Ovis aries: one gene and its partners. The protein of the gene in region 1 interacts with the protein of each later gene in a pairwise test. Links are inferred from orthologs where the notes say so. Each region holds a gene or a part of one and is shown in the gene's direction. Other genes may lie near its edges.

Region 1 (4,062 bases):
TCTCACGCTCACTGCGCAGCTTGCTGGGCTGGAGAGGGGCAGGTGACCTTGGGCTGGGGCCCGGGTAGGGAAGGAGAACCCTGGTCTCGGACAGCAGGGGCTGGAGGAGTCGCCTCAGGGGCCCCATCCTGTTAACTGAGAGAGCCAGAGGGGTGTGCGGGCCAGACACGTGCCCAGGTCTGGGGGTCCGGGCTTTCCCTTGTGAGTGGTTTTGTCTGTGTTCAGGAAAGTTCTCTGAGACTTGCTGAATGTTCATTTAACCCTGTTTTCTCATTTCCCCTAAATGTTCTAATTAACCCAATTTGGGAGGTAATCTCACAGGTGAGTACCAAGCACGAATTTAAAAGCATCTGTTCTGTGGCTAGATGCCCAGTTCCCCTATCGACGCTTATCAAACCCACCCACCCTTTCTCACTGGCTTGTGGATGTGCAGGATGTGGAGGCCAGCTGCGCTCAGCACGGTTCCTCGCGTTTCACCAGCCAACTGCTGTCCTGCTCAGCGTGCTTTTCACCTGTGAAGACAGGGGCACTGCCCGTCTTCAAGGCCACCTGCCAGCATTCCCACTGCCAGGACACCCCTGCTCTAGACATCACGGTCTCCCAGGGTCAGCCTCCGTCCTTGCCCATGACCGGAGCACCTTGACCTTGGGGCCTGGCGACCTCCCACCCTGGAGAGCCCTCCTGACCCTCGAGTGCCAGGACCCCTCGGGAGTTCTGGAACGAAGCACAGGTCGCTCGCTGGGGCTGGGGGTGGGGTGGGGGAGGTCGGATTTACACCGACTTCGGCCACATACCTGGCCGCTTCCCAGGGACCACTTCCACCGCCCCGGTTCCGGGGGAGCTGCCCCGCCCAGGCCTGTGCCCTCCTCGGTCCCCGGATCTCAAGCACAAGGGCCGGTTATCTCAGAGGAACCTCCGGGGGCGGCGCCGCTGCCTCCCCCGACCTCGTGGCCCCAAGGAGCCCAAAGGACCCTTAAAACCCGGGGTCGCAGACGCCGCTCGCTCGGCGGCCGGCGCGTGGGTGCGGGGATGGGAGCACGCGGGAAGGTGCACGAGGGGCTCAGCGGGCTCCAGGCCGGGGGGCCGCGGCGAGAGCGCGCGCGGGGCCCGCGGGGCGCCCGGCAGGTGCGGCCGGCGGGGCGGGGCGGGGCGCCGGGCCCGGGGGGCGGGCGGGGCGGGCGGGCGCGGCCTGCAGCCGCCCGCGTGGTCTGCGCGGCGCCCGCTCCTGGAAACAGGAGGCCGCCGCGCCGGAAGCCCCGCCCGCGCGCGCGCCCTGTCCCCGCCCGGTGGAGCGGCTGCTGGCGCGGCGCGGCGGCTCGGCACGGCGGCGCCCGGGCGCAGGCAAGCGGGCGGAGCGGCGGACGGCGCCCAGGCCGCGCCACGCGCCGGGCTCGCGGCGGAGCGCGCCGGACTGGTCGGGGCCCGCGGCCGCCCGCACCTTTCCATGGGCAGCTCGCACTTGCTCAACAAGGGCCTGCCGCTCGGTAAGGCCGCGCGCGCGCATTTCCGGCCGCGGGGGCGGGGCGGGGCGGGGCCGCGGGGGCGGGCGGGGCGGGCGCGGGCGCCGGCTTTGTGTGCGAGTGCGCGTGCGCGCCGGCGTCCGCGCGCCGGGGGCCGGGGCCGCGGGGGGCGCCGTGCGCATGCGCGGGCTGCTGCGTGCGCGCCGGCGCCCGGGGGGCGGGGCCGGGGTCAGGGCCGCGGGGGCCGCCGCGCGCGTGCGCGGGCTGCTGTGCGCGAGTGCGCGTGCGCCGCCGCCCCGCCCGCCCGCCCGCCCGCGCAGGTGACACAAAGGGGTGCGGGGCCCTGAGGACCGTGGCGGCCGGGACTCCGCGCCCGAGGCGGGGGCCCTGCCGGCCTGTCCGCCCTGCGGTCCCGGCTGGCGGGGCTCCTGCCGGCGGGGCCCCGCAGGGAGGCCGGGCGCGCCGGCGGCCCCGAGTCCTCTGGGGCTGGGCCTTCCGGGGCTTTGCGCCCCCGTGCACTGCGGCCCCGCTGTGGAAACGTCTGACGGGGCGCGGCGGCGGGGGTGACACCCGGCCCGGGCCCGTGTCCGCCCGAGCGGCCGGACGGTTGTGGCCGCGTCCGTCTCACCCCGTCCCCTCCTTGCTCTGTCAAGTGTGGGGAGCAGGCGCACTCCGTGCCCGGGCGGCGCCCCGAGCCTGCGGCCGGGGGCGGCCCGCGGTGGGGCTTTGCTGGCCGCCGCGCGCCGCCGCCGTCGGGCCGGGCCGTGTCCACCTGTCACTGCCCCCGAGCAGGCCCAGCTCCCCCGGCCGGGCCCCCCTCGCGCTGGGGGCGCGTCCGGGCCCCGGGCTCCGAGGTCTGTGGACGCAGGAGCGGCCGTGGGTCCGGGCGGGGCTCCCTCTGGCCGGTGCCTGCCTGCCGCGGAGGGTCCCCCCCCACCCCCGGCCCTGGGCTTGCCGGGAGGGCGGCCTGTGGCGGGCAGCCTCCTTTCCGGTGATGCTCTTCTCTGTGGTTGGTTAGGACAGGCTCGCTGTTGGGGCGTGCGATGGGATTGGTTTTCTTCCGAGCCCGCCCCGAGGAGTGATACCACCCCTCCCGTTTGTCTGGATGACTGGACAGTTGGGTCGCACATGAGGGGTCCAGAGTGGGGTCTGCAGGTCTTACCCCGCGGGGGCACCTTCTCCCTCTCCAGGATCCCCCCACCCAAGTCTCAAATGTATGTACGCAGAGGCAGACAGACACTCAGGAGAAAGCTCGTCTCCAGCAGTGTGGACGGGCGGGTGCCCTGTGGGTTAGCGTCTCCTGTCCATTCTTGCACGGGGCGGCATCCCTGAGCCTCTGGACGAGTGGCCGCAGCAGGCAAGAGCGCAGGCCTGGCGCTCAGGGAGCCCAGGCTGAGCCCCTGCCTGGTGCATGGTCGTGGCCTTGTGCTCTCTGCGCTGTGGCTGTAGAGGGGCTGGAGCGTTAGAAGTGGGGCCACGTGACGGAGCGGGTGCCACCTGTCAGGTGGAGGGGCAGGGCGGGGGATGGGGAGGGTGCTAGGCCCTGGAGGTAGGGGGCAAGGCTCAGGACCGGGGTCCCTGTGCAGACTGTCCCTCCGGAAGGCAGGAGGGTGGCGTGCAGGGCCGCGGTTTGTTTCACAGTGAACCTGCCCCTCTCTGTCACTTGATTTGGGTGAAGTTTTCCTGGGACTCTTGAGCATCACGAAGGTAGCAGGGCATGTGCACACAGGTGGGCGTGAGTGAAGACGGTGGCAGAGATGAATTCGAGTGGCGAGGGGTCTTCGTGACACATACGTGCCTCGCGTCACGGCTTTTATCTAGCACGTGTGCGGGGCGCCTTTTGGTTTCTGAGGAGCTGAGGACACTGCGCTGTGAGGCTGACTCTTGGTGGGTGGGCCTGCTGCGGGTGCTCTGAAGCCCTGTGTGCCTGGGGGAGCCCCCTGGCCTTGCCTCCAGGGGCTCAGCATCCACCACAGCCAGACCCGCCCTGTCAGTGTGGCCAGAACCCTGCTCAGACGGCTGTGCTGGGGGCAGGGGTGAGCTGGAGAAGGCGTGGCTGCTGCCGGCTCTTCCGACAGAGTGACACGGGGGTGGGCGGGGGGCCTTGGTGTGTCAGCTGTGACTCGTGGTCAGCCAAAGGGCACATCCTGACCGATGGGCCGGCTTTGCAGAGGAGGATGGGAAGGTACCAGGGGCAGTGACGCATGCGCTTCCTGCTGATGAGGCGTGTGCAAGGGACTGCGGTGACCAGGGGGCCGCAGTGTGCAGGCCGGAAGCCTGGTGGAGCGTGGGGGCCGTGGGGCCGGGGAGATGGCTGGAGGGCTGGACGTGGGGTCAGGGACCCTGTTCGTGGCTGCAGAGTTTGGAACTTGAGTTTGAGGCGGCAGTTCTGGGGCTGGAGCGGAAGCAGAGGCTGTTCGGAGGTGAGCTCTGGGAGTGTCCGCTTTGCGATGCTCCGTAGCCCTGCACCAGGCGGCATGAGCCAGTGCGTGCCCCTGAGCCAGCGCTGCGGGTGCGCTGAGGCCTAGGCCTGGGCTCTCAGGAACCCGGGGCGTTCTGCAGATGCAGGGATGTGCTGTGACCAGTCTGGGGGCTCAGCGAC
Region 2 (2,390 bases), on another chromosome or scaffold:
CCCAGCTCTGGCCTGGGCCTGTACCGTCTCTCACTGATGCTGGTTTTTGTCGCTGCAGTGAGGATGGTTAATGGACCCTCCCTCCTAGGGTCGTCAGGATAGAATGAGGCTGTAGACATACTCAAATGCAGCTGCTCCCCAGGCTTCTCTGCGTTGTGCTTGTGTCCGTCCTTGCCTTCAGTCAGCTGGCAGGGGTTTGCTGAACACCCTGTTCTGAGTATCCTGTGCTCCACTGTCTGGGCTGCAGAGATGAATCACCTCCACAGGGAGCCCCCATTCAGGGGCCTGAATGTGGGATCGGCCCCCTGGCTCACCCTCTGCCCTCTGACTGCCTGCTGTGTGTGCCCTGCAGGTGGCGGAACCTGTGGGAGACTTCCAGCCAAGCTACTACCAGCCGCTGGGGCAGCCGCCACTGGGGCAGCCGCCGCAGCCTCAATTCCTCCCGCCGGGCTTGCTGTCTGCGCTCCACTTCCTCCTGCCGCCGCTGCCCCCACCGCCTCCAGCAACCTTCTCGCTGACCGTCCTGTCTGACACGGACAAGGAGAACACCGGTGAGTGAGGCCCCGTCTTCCAGCTGCCGAGGGACACAGGAAGACTCTGGAGGATGGGGGTCCTACTATGACGTGGGCGTGGAGGGCAGGGAAATGGAGAATAGGATTTTCAATGTCCTGGGCCCTGGGGAAACTCTTTCCTGGCACCGCTCTCTTAAATTCCATACATGAACTTCTAGGGGAGGTGAGTCCCCATTCTCAGGTGAGGAAACTGTGATAGAACCCTGAGAGGGTCTCACATATGTACATGGTGCAGCTCGGGTTCCAACAGAAGTCTCTGTCTGGCTCCAGCTTCAACGCTAATTTCCTCACCTTAACAGTTCCTGTGGGCAAAACATGGAGGATGGCACGCGCGTGGTGCCGAAGGACCAGAGGTGCCAGGCCTCTCTGGCTGGGGAAGCAGCACGTGCTGAGCCTGCCTGGGGCTGGTGGGGATGATTCCTCTGGCTCGGGCCACTCTGGCCTTCACAGCTCGGTCACTGGTGCACTGGGTGATCTTGGGCACTCACACCCTCCTCTGGGCCTCAGTCTTCTCACCTGTTAAGTGGGCCCTGTCACAGGGTTACTGTGAGGGTTTTCTTTTGAGGGCCCTTGAAGCTTTAAAAGTTGTAGGATTTTTTCTTCCCTCTTTCAGTCCTCCCCTGAGGCTCCTTAAGAAAAGAAACCGAGGCCTGTTGTATGTCCGATGCCTAGATCTGTTAACTGGGGAAGTGGTACAGTGTGACTTGAAGTACGATGGCCCTGGTGCCGCACAGCCTGGGTGTAAGTCCTGGCTCCAGCACTTGCCCACGGTGTGACCTCGGGCAAGTTCATTCACTCCTCGGTGCTTCAGTTTCGGTATCTGCAAGAGCAAACTAATGAAGGGTCCCTTCCCTCATGAGCTCATCCTGAGGATTAAACAAAACCTAAAATGACGAAGGCATTGGTAAAGATTGTTCTCACTGTTGTCCCTAATCCCCATGCCAACCATGATGCTGCATAGTAAGCACCTTCTAATGGACAGAAGGAGACGCTGAGGTTCAGAGCTGAGAGTAGCTCGCTTCCTGCCACCCAGCTTGTGACAAGCAGAGCTGGAGTCTGAACTTGAGTCTATATCCTCTGGCCAGGGCTAGAATCCCAGTTTCCTGACTCCTAGCAAATTAAAAGTAGGAATGGGAATAACTAATTCTCTGTAGGGACTGGCAATGATGGTGATGCCTTGTAGAAAACTTATGTGTGAAAACAGGTGATTTCCCCTCTTTCTCAATCCAGCCCCTCTTCTCTGTCCTTCACAGATGACCAGGATGTGGAAGGGCCGAGCGAGCCCAGCCAGCCATCGTCCCAGGAGCAGTCCGACTAGGCCCAGGCCCTCAGGCCAGCAGCGTGGGGCCTTGGTGGGGGGGCGGGGGGGGGGTGCTTGCAGCAATGATTTTCTTGTCTCTATTCAGTGATATGTAGGGAGGAAGGGTAGTGATAAGCTAAGGTGGCCGTGAATTCCCATTTCAAGATAGGAGGAAGAGTGTGGTTGCTAAGGTTCTCTCAAGCCTGAGACACAGGGCTTGAAAAGGAACTCAGAGGATGAAGTCACCAGGGCTCGGCCAGAGCTCTGAGATGTGGGAGGCTGGCGAGAGCTCACATTTCAGAATGAATTTAGCCAGCTCTGTGTTGGTTGCTGTTAGTCAGATTCACCCCAGAGGCGGCCTTTGACTTCCTCAGGTCCTGCTGCAGGGCAGAGGCACGGTCTACCTCAGCCTCTGCTTCTGCTGCCTCTGTCTGGTCCCCAGCAGGAGGCAGCACAGATATCAGGCGTCCAGCACATCCAAGTGGATGGCGGGAGCAGCCAGGACCAGGGTGCTGAGC
Region 3 (3,500 bases), on another chromosome or scaffold:
CTGCATATGAAGTTGGGTCATTTCAGAAATTCTAGATGATGAATGCTAAGTTAATGATCAATGTTAAGGTTTTGTTTAAATAATCTACATTTTTACTGGAAACGATTTTTAAAAAATTACAACTTTGATAAATACTAAAGACAACTGAGAGTGCTTTATCCTTAATTTATGTCTCATTCTTCAGTAGTTTTAGGGATAATTTCACCTAAATAAGGCACTATCTCTATGGTAGAAGTTGTATGCATATATGACTTTTGCTGCTGACACATGAGGAAATTAGACTAACAGAAGTTCAAAAAGTTTTCAGAAAGATTTCCCCTGATTATACCCATGCATACTCAGTCACTTTGGTTGTGTCTGACTCTTTGCCACCTCATGGACTGTAGCCTGCCAGGCTGCCCTGTCCATGAGATTCTCCTGACAAGAACACTGGAGTGGCTTGCCATCTTCCAGGACTCAGACCCACATCTCTTATGTCTCCTGCATTGACAGATGAGTTCTTTACCATTAGCACCACCTGGGAAGCCACTTCCCATGGTTATATAATATGTGGTAAGTCTAGGAATAAGCAGGTGTCTGCTATTAGACTGTTGCTGTTCTCATCCCTTATTTCAGTTGTCTGTCATCAATATTTACTTAATTAGTTAAAAATGATTTAAATCCCATTTTAACATAAAAACTTGGTTTCAATGTTTCCTGTCTTCAAAGTCTTAGCCAGTGTTGATCACTTTATAATGATCTCCTTATAACAGAAATAATTGAATTACTGTGTAGTGCATTAGAAAATAATGTAGTGTTGTAGGTCAGTTATACTTCAAAAACAAACTCAGAAAACGAGATCGAATTTGTGGCTGCCAGAAGCAGGGGGTGGTGGGGCGAATTGGATGAAAGTGGTTAAAAATTATGAATTTCCATTTTTAAGATAATTAGGTACAAGGGATGTGATGCAGAGCATGAGAAATGAAATTAGCAGTGCTGTCTGTTATACATGAAAGTTATTAAAAGAGTTCATCACAAGGAAAAACATTTTTTTTCTTTTGTATCTGTAAGACATGTTGGAGGTCCACTAAAATTATTGTGGTAGTCATTTCATGAAATAAGTAAGTCATTATGGTATAGACCTTGAAGTTAACACAGTATGGTTTGTCAATTGTATGTCAGTAAAACTGGAAGGAGAAAGATAAAATTCTAAGTTTTGCTATCAGTAAAGACCCTTATGCTGGAAAAGATTGAGGGCAGGAGGAGAAGAGGGTGACAGAGGATGAGATGATTGGATGGTATCACTGACTCAATGGGCGTGAGTTTGAACAAACTCTGGGAGACAGTGAAAGATAGGAAAGTATATTGTGCTGCAGTTCCTGGGGTCGCAGAGTCAGCATGACTTACCAGTTGAACAATAGCAACAACTATTAAAAGAATCTTAGCAATGTTATTTGCATCTATGTTTCACAAAGAAGAAATTAGTTTTGCTATAGTACAACATTGAGGGAATATTCTGAAAGTTTGATGTATGATAGGAAAAGAGCTCACGTTATATATCGAGTCTAGTTTTCTTTGTTTTTGTCACGACTCAGTAACTGAGCATGACTATCTGGGCATGGATTACTGTCTTGATAGGTAATTATCTATAAAAATGTTAGTGAGTCGATCCATAACTTACCATACTAAAATTTTCTTCCCGTTTATAGGCCAAAGAATGCTAAGCAGCCAGAGCGTGAAGAAAAGCGAGTTTTGGGTCTGGTGTTGTTGCGTGGGGAGAACTTGGTTTCCATGACTGTGGAGGGACCACCCCCCAAAGATGTAAGAAAGATGTAGGACAGGACAGAACATTAATGTGGGAGGGAATCACATTGTTTGAATTATGTGCTAAATGAGTGTACAACAGAGACAAAGTATACTATACCTTTGTCAAAATGTGCCTGGCACTTGATATAAGTTCTTGTTTGTCTATAATGGGAGATTAAGCATATTCTATAGAGTTATGCTGACTACAATCTAGTTAAGGGTAGGAGTGCTGATTTATTTTCTCTTGATAGGATCATGAAAATATATGGGCTCCCAATTTGACTAGTGTACATCTAGTCTGTAGGATGCTTCTCTTGATGCTATTTTCAATATAGAACCTCATATGAGATAGGGTATATGGGAAAATGTTGGAAAGAGGTAATTATTTAGGAATGATTATTGATAGATAGGTTTCATAAATTTGATTTCAAGCTATATATGTATTTTTTTGTTTCAGACTGGCATTGCTCGGGTACCACTTGCTGGAGCTGCAGGGGGCCCTGGGGTTGGCAGGGCAGCTGGCAGAGGCGTTCCAGCTGGTGTTCCAATTCCCCAGGCTCCTGCTGGATTAGCAGGACCTGTCCGAGGGGTTGGGGGCCCATCTCAACAGGTGAGGAACCAGGAATGTTATTGAGAGAAAGTACCTGGAATCTGATATTGAGGAGGTAGAAAAAACTGAGTGAACATCCTGTACTGCGTAAAGCAGTATATGCTGTAGAGGGAAGAGAGGTAAAAATATACATTATGAAGCCACCATGATAGCAGTAACTCAGCACTGATGAGCAAAGAGGAATATGGATGGATAAACCAGAGTTGAGCATGCAAAGGGCTGATGAGGTTAAAAGTGGACATGTTCATTTTAAAGGATAGTGTGATAGTGGTGATAGTGTGCTTTAAATGAGAAAAATGGGAGAAGTGCAGAATTACTATAATTACTTTATGTTTAATAAATAGTGTATGATCAGCCTTTTATTTTCTGTATTTGAATGATGTGAGGAAGTGTTAATATTTGCTGTCTATCTGTGTGTTCTTTCTCAGGTAATGACCCCACAGGGAAGAGGCACTGTAGCAGCTGCTGCAGTTGCTGCTACTGCCAGCATTGCTGGAGCTCCAACTCAGTATCCACCAGGACGGGGGACTGCACCTACACCTGTTGGTCGAGCAACCCCACCTCCAGGTAAGGAATTGGTGGAGAATTCGGTTCTAAAAGGAATTCTAAAAGAATTTGGTTGTTAGATACCAATGTGGATCTGTGAAATAAAATCATGATGACCAAAATCACTCTTTAAGAAGATACTGAATTAAGGCTCAGCCTAACTCCCTAACTAGGAACTTGGAATATGTTTTCACTTTTGGCCATTGATTTTTAATGAAAAGCTATGGACTCTTGAATTGGGATGATCTGACGTAGCAGTGGTCAAGGAGAAATTTGTTCAACTCTTTACTTACTACCTGGCTTATTTTTTTAACTATTATCTTGTGCTTTATGCTACCATCTTAGCTGATTTATGTGCCTTTTTTTTCCTGCCATTTTTCTTTCTAGGAATTATGGCTCCTCCACCTGGTATGAGACCACCCATGGGCCCACCAATTGGGCTTCCTCCTACTCGTGGGACACCAATAGGCATGCCCCCTCCAGGAATGAGACCCCCTCCACCAGGGATAAGAGGTGAGTGAGTGTTAATAATTTTCTCAGTGGTACTAGCCAGGCCCCT
Region 4 (3,500 bases), on another chromosome or scaffold:
ATGATATGTTTGTTCAAAGTTTGGCCCTATTAGTTGGAGGTACAAAGTGCTTTTACTCTATATTGAAGTATGATGTCTCAAGATAGGACAATTGTGCGGTACTGAGGAGATAATTTTAGCTATAGTCTGTAACTTTAAAAAAATTCTTAAATTTTGTGTCCTGAGATAATATTGATAGAATTAGTGTAGAATCTCTATGTGTAGTACATAGCAGTGACTTATAGAAACCATATTCTGACTAATAATTCTTTATAAAATATCTGTATTTAAAATGTATGATTCATTGATTGACTCTTAAGTTACTAATGATTGTTTAACCCAGTTGGTATTTCCTGTTGCAGATTGTATGCTGGCCCAGAGGTAGATATATGGAGCAGTGGGGTTATTCTCTACGCTTTATTATGTGGAACCCTTCCATTTGATGATGATCATGTGCCAACTCTTTTTAAGAAGATATGTGATGGGATCTTTTATACCCCTCAATATTTAAATCCTTCTGTGATTAGCCTTTTGAAACATATGCTGCAGGTGGATCCCATGAAGAGAGCCACAATCAAAGATATCAGGTGAGAAAGCAATCTGATTGTCAGATCTAACAGTATCCGTGATATAAGTCAAGTGAAAGAGAAATTTGCAGAATAGTTTGTACAATGTAATCCCATTTTTATATTAAAAACAATGTATAGACTCAAACTTATTTTATCTTGATATTTAAAAATACTAAACTGGCTACCTTAGGAAGTAAGATTAGGAGGAGGAAAGGCTTTCACTTTTTGCTTATGCTTCTTTATTTGTTTTGAAATTGTAACTGTGAACATTACTTTTTAAATTTAAAAAAAAAAGATGTAATGAAAAATAAAAAAGACCCTAGTCGGGTATTAGATTTGGTAGTGATTCTTTAAGATTTTCTGTAATATGCTTCATGTTTGACTTTTACACATTCTCATACTTTTTCATAGTAAATTTGTATATTGCTTTTTGAGTTCTCATCTTACAAGTTACTGTATTTTTCCCTTTTGTTCATCTCTAGGAATAAGAACATTTTAATTCAGTCAATGACATGTTGTTTTTGTAGTAGTATACATTGAATTACATATGAAATTATTGTTTTGTAAGTAAAAGGTCCACCAGTATTGCCAGTTTCATGTGGTTCAACCTAACAGTTTAAATAAGGCAAAAGTGATGATGACAAATCTCAAATTTGAGCAGGTCATTTCTGATGAAGATAATACTGCAAACTTTGTTTCTACTACCACTGTTTTTCTTTCCTTTTTTCGTTAATGGAAATTTCTCTTTTGGTCTTCTAATGGCTATATAGAACATTTCTCTGAGATGGAGGAAGAAGGATGAAAGAAATCAGATATGTATTTGGGACCAGTAAAGACGAAAGTATTAGGGCAATGAAGAAGAAAGAGCATATGTAGAACTTAAAGTTTGATTCCTAAAATAAATAAATAATAAGGACCTACTTTATAAGCACAGGGGACCCTATTCAATACTATGTAATGACTTGTATGGGGAAAGAGTCTAAAAAAGAGTGGATATATGTGTAACTGATTCGCTGTGTTGTACAGCAGAAAGTAACACAACATTGTAAACCAACTACACTCCAGTAAAAAAAAAAACAAAGCTTAATTCCTTTCCATTTACTCCATTTTCTGCAGACTAAAAAAGAGAAGGAATGGTAGGTCATGACTTCACTACTAGAAGAGAAGGACTGATTCATCTCTAAATTTATATTTCAGAATATCTTAGAGGTGGTTTTTCTTGTGTTTTACCTACTTTTTTCCAATTTAAATGAAATATGTGACAATTGGAAAAGACTTAGAAAACACCAAAAACATTAGAGAATTTAAATGATCTTTAATTCCATTATCCAGAAGATAATCTTTGTTCTTTGGGGTGTTTCCTCTCAATATTTTAAATTTTAGCATATTTTTATACAATTGAAGTCCAAAAATATCCCTTTATATGTAAAATTAGGAAATCTCAGTTCCTTCATTAAAATAAGGGGACATTATTATTATCTTACTGGAGTTGTTTGAAAATGAGGTGAGATAACAGATATGAAGTGTTCAGCTTAAAATCTACCACATAGTAAGCATTCAATGAGTGAAAGCTGTCTATTTTTGTTTATATATTTTTTTCACTTAACAATATATCCCAAGAGGAAACCACAGACTAATTTTGTTCTTTTCTGAGCTGGAAATAAGATGTCTTTACCATTAGCATGCCATTGCCATTTGTTCCAAAAATTTAAAGTGTAGACACTTCTTCCCTGGTTGCTCCAGCAGTGTTGTCTCCCTCTTACTATGAGAGGAAGGCTGAGCATTTCTGTTATACAATGAAATGTGAGCCAAGAGAGAAAAATCTGTTTTAAAAAAATGATAACAGTATGAATGATAATACTGTACGAGTATAAATTCCCCAAACAGTTACTTTCAGTCTCCTCTCTCCTCCAAACCCTTCTGACACCTACCATTTTCTCTCAGGGAACATGAATGGTTTAAACAGGACCTTCCAAAATATCTCTTTCCTGAGGATCCATCATATAGCTCAACCATGATTGATGATGAAGCCTTAAAAGAAGTATGTGAAAAATTTGAATGCTCAGAGGAGGAGGTTCTCAGCTGCCTTTATAACAGAAATCACCAGGACCCTTTGGCAGTTGCCTACCACCTCATAATAGATAACAGGAGGATAATGAACGAGGCCAAAGATTTTTACTTGGCAACAAGCCCACCAGATTCTTTTCTCGACGATCACCACTTGACCCGGCCCCATCCTGAAAGAGTACCATTCTTGGTTGCTGAAACTCCCAGGGCGCGCCATACCCTCGATGAATTAAATCCACAGAAATCTAAACACCAAGGTGTAAGGAAAGCAAAATGGCATTTGGGAATTAGAAGTCAAAGTCGGCCAAATGATATCATGGCAGAAGTTTGTAGAGCAATTAAACAACTGGATTATGAATGGAAGGTAAGAAAGAAAGAGCATTCTGAATATTAGCACATTTGACAAACCTGTAGTCTATCATGTTTTATAGAAGAATTCCTTTTCACTTTGTTTTTGTCCATACCATGCGCTAGGTTGTAAACCCGTATTATTTGCGTGTTCGGAGGAAGAATCCTGTGACAAGTACATACTCCAAAATGAGTCTGCAGTTATACCAAGTGGATAGTAGAACATATTTATTGGATTTCCGAAGTATTGATGGTATGTACATCACACAGAACAATGTAGACGACATATTAGACCTTGTTACTTACTTTGGGATTTTAGTAAATCTTTGAGTCTTTTGAAGCTTCTTGAATTGTACCTCGTAATTCAATAGCAAAAGAACATAAAAGCACCTTTTAGATTTGAATATTTGAGAATCTAGGAAATAGTTTATTGTCCTTTTAAGACTATCTTCTAAAATCCTTAAAGCGTTATACAGCTTTATCTTAAACTGATAGTTTGTTACATTTTTGTTTCTTGTAGTTCATTTTGGTAAGATG

Evidence for each region. The genes of interacting proteins can lie anywhere in the genome.
Region 2: the proteins of CTBP1 (region 1) and DMRTB1 interact in a two-hybrid assay, tested with the Homo sapiens proteins (4 studies listed by BioGRID). The link is inferred for Ovis aries from reciprocal best matches to the Homo sapiens genes CTBP1 and DMRTB1.
Region 3: the proteins of CTBP1 (region 1) and SNRPN interact in a two-hybrid assay, tested with the Homo sapiens proteins (2 studies listed by BioGRID and IntAct). The link is inferred for Ovis aries from reciprocal best matches to the Homo sapiens genes CTBP1 and SNRPN.
Region 4: the proteins of CTBP1 (region 1) and PRKAA1 interact in binary tests that used the Homo sapiens proteins (3 or more experiments, as listed by UniProt). The two-hybrid records come from large-scale screens. The link is inferred for Ovis aries from reciprocal best matches to the Homo sapiens genes CTBP1 and PRKAA1.

What each region holds. Positions count from the first base shown.
Region 1 is NC_056059.1:117,891,701-117,895,762, forward strand, and holds the start of CTBP1 (C-terminal-binding protein 1), read left to right. Parts: upstream 1-1,262; 5' UTR 1,263-1,444; coding exon 1,445-1,484; intron 1,485-1,726; exon of another isoform or gene 1,727-3,883; intron 3,884-4,062. UniProt on the Homo sapiens protein: Corepressor targeting diverse transcription regulators such as GLIS2 or BCL6. Has dehydrogenase activity. Involved in controlling the equilibrium between tubular and stacked structures in the Golgi complex.
Region 2 is NC_056054.1:27,988,340-27,990,729, forward strand, and holds the end of DMRTB1 (doublesex- and mab-3-related transcription factor B1), read left to right. Parts: intron 1-352; coding exon 353-551; intron 552-1,825; coding exon 1,826-1,890; downstream 1,891-2,390.
Region 3 is NC_056071.1:1,233,855-1,237,354, forward strand, and holds part of SNRPN (small nuclear ribonucleoprotein-associated protein N), read left to right. Parts: intron 1-1,688; coding exon 1,689-1,800; intron 1,801-2,242; coding exon 2,243-2,395; intron 2,396-2,823; coding exon 2,824-2,962; intron 2,963-3,328; coding exon 3,329-3,454; intron 3,455-3,500.
Region 4 is NC_056069.1:33,878,920-33,882,419, forward strand, and holds part of PRKAA1 (5'-AMP-activated protein kinase catalytic subunit alpha-1), read left to right. Parts: exon of another isoform or gene 1-341; coding exon 342-566; exon of another isoform or gene 567-2,371; intron 2,372-2,479; exon of another isoform or gene 2,480-2,492; coding exon 2,493-2,979; exon of another isoform or gene 2,980-3,089; coding exon 3,090-3,216; exon of another isoform or gene 3,217-3,500. UniProt on the Homo sapiens protein: Catalytic subunit of AMP-activated protein kinase (AMPK), an energy sensor protein kinase that plays a key role in regulating cellular energy metabolism.